2 linked regions of the Arabidopsis thaliana genome follow. The protein of the gene in region 1 purifies or fractionates together with the protein of each later gene. This does not show direct contact. Each region holds a gene or a part of one and is shown in the gene's direction. Other genes may lie near its edges.

Region 1 (3,142 bases):
TTTTTTTATTTATTCCTCAAATCTATGTTTTTAACTTCTTATCCTTGAGAAATAATTATTCAGTAATTTTATTATTGGAAGATAAATCTCTTTCCTAAATAATTATTAAGAATTATTTGACATTTACTTTTAAGAATTATTTAATATTATCCCCAAAAAAGGGTGTTATTTCATTTTCGTAACAGATAAAAATATTCCTTTTCTTATTTATTTGAGTCGTACACGCGGTGGTATATATATAGATTCTCCTCTAAAGCCACCGAAGTCGGAGAAAGGTAATGGCGTCGGGGAAGCTTCCGTGGGAGTTGGAGGAAGAGATACTGTGTCGGCTTCCACCTGGATCCCTTGTTCGGGTAAGATCCGTATGTAAACACTGAACGATCTTCTCAACGACAAATGGTTCATCAAGAAAAGCTTGGGTTGTGCACGTCCCCAATTTATCATCCTGCCCGAATCCAAGATTTATTCGATAGGAACCATCGGCCTGGACGACTTTGATCCGAAGATAGAGGTGCGTGAGCTAGCCTGTCAATTTCATTTTAAGGCTGAGAAGTGGGCATTTACCAGGATCACGGCTTGCGATGGATTATTGTTTCGTGACTTTTGGAACCAAGGGGTTACCATTTGGAATCCATGGTTAAGACAGGTTGGGTGGATCGAGTATAAGGAGGACAGAGATTTCCGTTTTTGCGGTGTAGGATACGATGCTTGTAAACCCGAAAAGGATTACAAGATCTTTGGGTATTTTAGTCGTTTCTATGACACTACACTGAAAATCGGCCACAGATTTGCGATCTTTGAATGTGCGTCTCAAGCGTTTAAGTTCATTGATTCCCCGGAATGGCCAATGCTGGCAGGTCGAGGTGAATATGTGTCCTTGAATGGAAATTTGTATTGGACTGCTTACAATGAAGATACTCGTGAGCATTTTCTCGGAAGCTTTGATTTCTCCACAGAAATATCCATGCACTTTTGTCTCCTTCCTTGTGGGAAGCATGTTTCTGGCTTACGAGATAAACTTGTCCTCACTGTATTTAAGGGCGATCAGTTTGCATTGTTAAAGCAATCTCGTATATCAAGTAATACAGAGATTTGGGTAACAAATGACATGATTAACTCTAGTAATAATGTGGTGTGGTTAAACTTGATGACACTGTCAATACCTGATTTTCCCTCGCTATTCCATCAGCTTTCTGATATTAGTTACTTCATCCATGACATGACCCTTATCCTGTGCTGTGACGACAATCAAACTGGAGTGGGTTGCATCTTTATTGCGAGGGGAGACTTCTGCAAGAAGATTCAAATAGATTCTGTCTCTCTTGGGTTTTCTCAATGTGTCCATCTTCCAAGTTTGACCTCGGTTCCTTTGGAATTCAGATCACTGCAAGTTTAGAATTTCGATTTTTCGAGTACAAACAGTCTTTGAAATGTGATTCTTTTTTCATGTCTTTTATATTATACTAGATAAATACCCACGTGTAGCGTGGGTTTGTTTTGAAAATTGTGAAGCGTGAGTTTGTTTTGAAAATTGTGAAAAACAATTATTGATTGTTTTTGCTAATTTATGTTTATTTTTTATTCGTTATTATGTAGTTAATTAATAAAACTAAAACTATCTTATGTAGTTACAATTTTTAAGATTATATCTTTTTTTTTTACTTGAAATATAACTCGTGAAAGACTTACTTGTCAGCTGAAACCTCTTGCTTATTCGCGTAATATCCTTCATCGTCCTCATGGCTCTCCTAGTTGGTCAGAAGGTACTTTATCAGCTTTCTCAATATCTATTATGGGTACAAAGTTGTTTTTATCCTTTTTGAATGGGATACATGGAACTCTCTCGTTTATATTTTCAGAGGATACAAAAGTTCTATCTGCGCAATACGGACCTAAAGCAAGAACGAAGAAGAACGAAAATGCTGAGAAGGCTTGTTTGAAGTCATATGGAAGCCTTAAACCGGATAGATTGGTAATCGTAAATGCGTTTAGTTTTTCAGAAAGAGGCTTGTTTTGTCGCTTGAGTATGTAGTACAGGTGATTCTTGGTTTTTAGATGTGAATTTCTTTTGCTTTGAATATTGATAGGAAAAGTTGAAAAAGAGTATGAAACGATACTGAAAAGGACGCTACAGAGTATTTGTGTTTTGAGAGTTGTTCCAAATACCACCACCTCAGTGATTATTCAGGTGAGTAACTATTCAATGTTGTGTATATATATATTGTCAACTTGAGTTGTATCTGATGTTTTCATTTTGTAATTTCTGTGTAGGTTGTACATGATGGTGGTTCTGTATCGTTTTTATGTTCCTTTCACCTTGGTAAACATTTACTAATGCTGTCTGAAACACATATAATCCGGTATAAACAATGTCTGTTTGAGTATTTATAGAGTTTATAGTAGTGAAAGTTTGTAATCCCATAAACTGAGAGTGTGAATATGTTTTTGTGTAACTTCTACCGTGGCCTCCATTCTGGCAGTTAGAAGGTATTAAACGTTTGTTCTAAAGAAATATGATGTACAAAAAGGGAGACTATGAAGGATAGAATTTACGAAGTCGAGAAATTTACCTTGAGATTCTTCTTCTTTCATATTGAACGATCTAGCAGAATAAAAAAAAAAATACAAAACAGTCATACAAAACAGTCTTTCAAATTACTTGTTTTCTTAGCATAAATCTCGAATAGCTTAGATATATTTAATTTGCATATTTATTTAGTTTTTTCATAATAATCATCTAATTTTTAGGCAAGGAATATGTGTATCATGTTTGGATTTTATTTTTTTCTTCAAGATTAGTTTAAAAATTAAATTAGTTTTAAATATTAACTGTTAATTAAAATAGTTAAACTAATGATTTTAGAAATGAGAATTATTTAAAATTTTTAAATGAAAAACTCAAACTTTAAGAAATCATTTCTTAATAATTTCACTATTACTTTTTCATAATTAATTTAAGAGTTAAATTTTACGGCACAAATTTGGCGGAAATCAAGCTAACAACTATCGTTATTCCGATTTTCAATATTTATATCATGTATGTTTAAAATTTAAAAATTTAGATTAATTATTAAATTTTATGAAAGAAAATATGTGTAATTTTTAATTTAATAATAGTTTTTTTGTTTTTTAAGAAACCCGC
Region 2 (4,812 bases), on another chromosome or scaffold:
CTTTATAGCAAGCAATTTTGAGGGAAGAAAACTGAAACTAGATAGAGAATATTAAATGCTAAAAACCTTTATCATCATCTTTGGACAGGATGAAGAAGTTAATGACATTTCCTTTAGCGCTCATAGAGCACACTCAAAAGTCTATGTGCGTGAATCCAGCTCATTCTCTAATGGTTTCAATAAGTTTTGATTAGTTGATAAAGTTACAAGGGGCAATTATAACAGTTTTCAAATTATTGAAACACTTAGGTGTATTATCACAAAAATAAAAAGTTAGGTGTCATTGGCAATTTAATACAAGTTTCTAATTTGATGATATACATGCATTAAACGTGCTTTGCAGTTTGTGCATATAACGAAATTTAGTGTGTATTTTAAAAAGCATCTCCTTACTTGTGCCCTGAAGTGTATGCTTATAAATTTAGTTCTCATTGTGTCAGCAAACTGTGTGTTATCAATTGCCTTACTCCAATGGCTTCAATAAGCTTACTTCAAGTTTCCGTAGCTATCCTTTGCTTTCTCATCCTTCATTACTTTCTCTTCAAGAAACCTCATGGCCGGTACCCTAGGAACTGGCCGGTTCTCCGGATGCTACCCGCTATGCTCAAGGCGCTTCACCGAATCTACGACTACAGCGTGAAGATTCTCGAAACCTCTGACTTGACCTTTCCATTCAAAGGACCGCGGTTCACAGGAATGGATATGTTGCTCACGGTTGATCCAGCTAACATTCATCATATAATGAGCTCAAATTTCTCAAACTACATCAAAGGACCGGAGTTCCAAGATGTTTTTGATGTGTTAGGAGACAGTTTCATCACCACGGACTCGGAGCTATGGAAGAATATGAGGAAATCTTATCAAGCCATGCTCCATAGTCAAGAGTTTCAAAGGTTTTCAATGAGTACCATGACAAGTAAACTCAAGTACGGTCTTGTTCCCCTTCTTAATCATTTTGCTGAGGAAGGAACAACTCTTGACTTGCAAAGCGTCTTCGGGAGGTTCACTTTCGATACAATTTTCATCCTTGTAACTGGTTCTGATCCTAGATCTCTCTCCATTGAAATGCCTGAAGACGAATTTGCTAAAGCTCTCGACGATGTTGGAGAAGGGATTCTTTATAGGCATTTTAAACCAAGGTTCTTGTGGAAGCTGCAAAACTGGATAGGATTCGGACAAGAGAAGAAGCTCACTGAAGCTAATGCAACTTTTGACCGCGTGTGTGCCAAATACATATCAGCCAAGAGAGAAGAGATTAAAAGATCACAAGGGACTTCCAATGGAGGAAGTCAGGATCTTTTAACTTCCTTCATAAAGCTAGACACGACCAAGTACAAGCTCTTGAATCCGAGTGACGATAAGTTCCTTAGAGACAACATCTTAGCTTTCATTCTAGCGGGAAGAGACACAACAGCCACCGCTCTCTCTTGGTTCTTCTGGCTTCTCTCTGAAAATCCACATGTGGTAGCCAAGATTCATCAAGAGATCAACATCAACACTGATCTATCAAGAACAGGAAATAGCCAAGAGAATGTAGACAAGTTGGTGTATTTACATGGTGCGTTGTGTGAAGCAATGAGACTCTACCCACCAGTTTCCTTCGGACGCAAGTCTCCAATCAAATCAGATGTGCTTCCAAGTGGCCATAAAGTTGATGCAAACTCTAAGATTATTATCTGTCTTTATGCATTGGGGAGGATGCGAGCGGTTTGGGGAGAAGATGCATCGCAGTTCAAGCCAGAGAGATGGATTTCGGAGAATGGAGGCATAAAACATGAGCCTTCCTTCAAGTTTTTGTCGTTTAATGCCGGTCCAAGAACTTGTCTAGGTAAACATCTAGCTATGACTCAAATGAAGATAGTGGCAGTGGAGATATTACGAAACTACGACATTAAGGTTCTCCAAGGACAGAAGATTGTGCCAGCTCTTGGTTTTATATTGTCAATGAAACATGGTCTTCAAATCACTGTTACTAAGAGATGTTCTGCTTGAAATTATTCATGTATTAAATAAAAAAATCATTTTGGTTTGGTTTTGATTTGGTTCTTAGTTTTTTTTTTTAGTTTTACGGTTTAAGTAAACCGAAATCCTAATATTGACTGGTTCGGTATAGTTTTGGTTCAAAATTTGCGTGCAAAAAAAAGAAGAGACTGTGCAGTGTTGTTCCTTTCTGGGTTCTCATCGTCGTCAAGGAACAAGCTTTAACAGAGTTTAACATATATTAGGGTTCTTATCTCCAAAACCCACCTCACTCATGGCTGCCAAAGTTTCTGTCTCTCCCACAAGCCTCTTAAATCAGATTGTGGTCCGTATATCTCTAAAAAGTTGGCTTTTTTATGATTTCGATTCGATTTGGTTACAATGAAGCATGGTGTTTTCAATTTTTAGGTTCCAGGTGATGTTGTTCTTGATTTGTCAAACATGAATAACCAAACAATCAAGCTCGGAAGTGGCCTTCTTCAGGTTTCATCTTCTTCTCTTTCTTATGTGTTGTTTGAATCCTAACAATTATTCCAGTGGGCACTTGATTTGTGATATACAATTGCAACTAAAAAGGAATTGTAGATTGACATGTGTTTGTTTTTTTGGCTTATTTTAGGATAATGATGCTATCTCTGCCATGAGAGCTGGCAAATTAAGTTACTCCAAGCCTAATAAGTATTGGCTCGAAAGTTCTCATAAACGGGTGAGCTCAGTGGTCTTACTAATCTTCCCTTTCTGGTTGCTTCTCTATTGAGCTTCTTGTGGATTATAACTGTGTCATCTGCTCGGATACTAGGTCCACTTGATTAATCATGAGTAGAAAAGTAACAAATAACCTGGCACAATTGCATCATGAAGAATTGAAGATTTGCCTTTTGTAGCATTTTGACAATTTGATGCTTTTGTGGATCATTCTTGCTAGTTTTCTCCCTAGTTATTTGATCATATACATCTGGCTTGATAAGACAATTTACCATTTTTGGTTTTCAAAACTCTAGTAGAATATTGTTTTGTTAATTATCTATGTAAGTCTCGTTCTCTTTGTTGCTGACTCTGTTATTATGTTTTTTTTTTGCAGTATATACCTCGCCCTGATGATCATGTTCTTGGAATCGTGGTCGATTCTAGGGCAGATGTAAGTCCTTTGAAATCATTGCTTGTATAGATTCTTGTGTTGTTTTTGGATCCCTCTCAGACTGGTCATCTCTGAAAGCATTTTATTATACTTTAGTTGTCAAATACGATACAAATATATGTTTGTCAGTTTCCGCGACTTCAGTCCTCATTTCTCTGAGCCAATAAAGGTGAACTTGTTTGTTGATGGTCTTGGATCAGTAAATAAATAGGTGGGAGTATTGAAGTTATGGTCTAAAATCAGAAGAAAACTGATACCATTATTGGACAAACAAATGTTAATTGACTTTTAAATTATCAGCTGCAGTTAAGCTTTCTTGCATGAACTAACATCGCCTTAGTAAGTACTGAATTGTTTCTTTTACTCATCATGTCATTGCAGAATTTTTGGGTGGACATTAAAGGACCTCAATTAGCACTTTTGCCAGTTCTTGCATTCGAAGGAGGAACACGAAGAAATATTCCCAAGTTTGAGGCATGTACATTCTGATGACTCAGGAAGCTCTCTTGAATTCTCATTTGGGATATGACATTCTCTATGAATTGATTGTTTCTGGAATGTTCAAATTTTTGTGTACTAAACAGGTAGGCACTCTGCTTTATCTCCGGGTTGTCAAGACAAACATAGGAATGAATCCGGAGCTGTCTTGTACCGAGGGTAAGTTAAAAGCTTTGGAGGCTAAAACAGTGCTGCTTCTCTTAATCCCTTTTAAACTAATTGTCTCTTGTTTCTATGTATTAGCTAGTGGGAAAGCTGCATTATTTGGACCCTTGAGAGATGGTTTCATGTTTGAAACTTCAACTGGTCTTTCAAGAATGTGAGATATACTTCCTCATAAAAAATGTCTCCTTATACTTTATCTATCTTCTTTCGCCATTACAACTTTACTTTCTCATCTCTTATAGGCTGTTGAATTCACCAACGCGCCCGGTCATTGAGGCTCTTGGAAAGAAACTCTCGTTCGAGATAGCTGTGGGCTTAAATGGCAGAGTTTGGGTAAATGCGACAGCTCCACGTATAGTCATTATCGTGGCCAATGCAATAATGAACTCGGAATCTCTAAGTGGGACTCAGCAGAGAATCATGGTTGAGAAATTGCTCGCGATAATTTCAGACTAAACGTTATTGTTCTTGAAATGTAACTGAACCCTCATGATGCTCTTTATAGCAAGTGATTTTGATTCATTCAAATACAATTTTATACAGTAAAAGTGTAGTCTAAATAAAAATACATATGCCACATGACGAATGCTTAATCTGTATACAACAGTAGTCTAAAGGTTGAAGAAATGATACATAACATTGTTAAAGCGAGGGAGGCTCGTATCTGCATACACAATCATATATGTTTCCTTTTATCAACTTCTCAGCCAATCTCTGATTTTTAACCATTGCTAGCTGCCAAAAAGGAAGAGAAGGTTTCAGCCAAAAGTTTCAATAACAGTTCTAGAGCTGAAATTTTCTGTCAAGTGAGGTTTAAACCTTGAGAGCCTCGCATTGGAATTGAGCGTTGAAGTTGGTGTGAAGTGCTCTTCCCATACCTTCCAAGACAACCTGCAATATTGTTAAACATCAAATAAAGAACAAAGCTTCTCTTTTTTGATGTGTTTGAAGTTTATGTCAGGTAGAAAACAGAGAAGGTTTTGTAGATACAAGATCAGCGTCTTTGGCAGCGGCTGCAAGCTCAGAGCTGA

Evidence for each region.
Region 2: the proteins of AT2G07110 (region 1) and AT4G32175 fractionate together in Arabidopsis thaliana (co-fractionation; one large-scale study listed by BioGRID). This does not show direct contact.

What each region holds. Positions count from the first base shown.
Region 1 is NC_003071.7:2,951,859-2,955,000, reverse strand, and holds AT2G07110 (exosome complex exonuclease RRP46-like protein), read left to right. Parts: upstream 1-1,792; coding exon 1,793-2,024; intron 2,025-2,087; coding exon 2,088-2,188; intron 2,189-2,271; coding exon 2,272-2,391; downstream 2,392-3,142. Other genes in the region: AT2G07120 (F-box associated ubiquitination effector family protein), read left to right, coding at 279-353, 410-1,396.
Region 2 is NC_003075.7:15,533,301-15,538,112, forward strand, and holds AT4G32175 (PNAS-3-like protein), read left to right. Parts: upstream 1-2,133; 5' UTR 2,134-2,254; coding exon 2,255-2,305; intron 2,306-2,388; coding exon 2,389-2,463; intron 2,464-2,599; coding exon 2,600-2,686; intron 2,687-3,061; coding exon 3,062-3,118; intron 3,119-3,499; coding exon 3,500-3,592; intron 3,593-3,702; coding exon 3,703-3,775; intron 3,776-3,859; coding exon 3,860-3,935; intron 3,936-4,023; coding exon 4,024-4,237; 3' UTR 4,238-4,302; downstream 4,303-4,812. Other genes in the region: CYP96A2 (cytochrome P450, family 96, subfamily A, polypeptide 2), read left to right, coding at 472-1,992; PANK2 (pantothenate kinase 2), read right to left, coding at 4,424-4,516, 4,601-4,672, 4,772-4,812.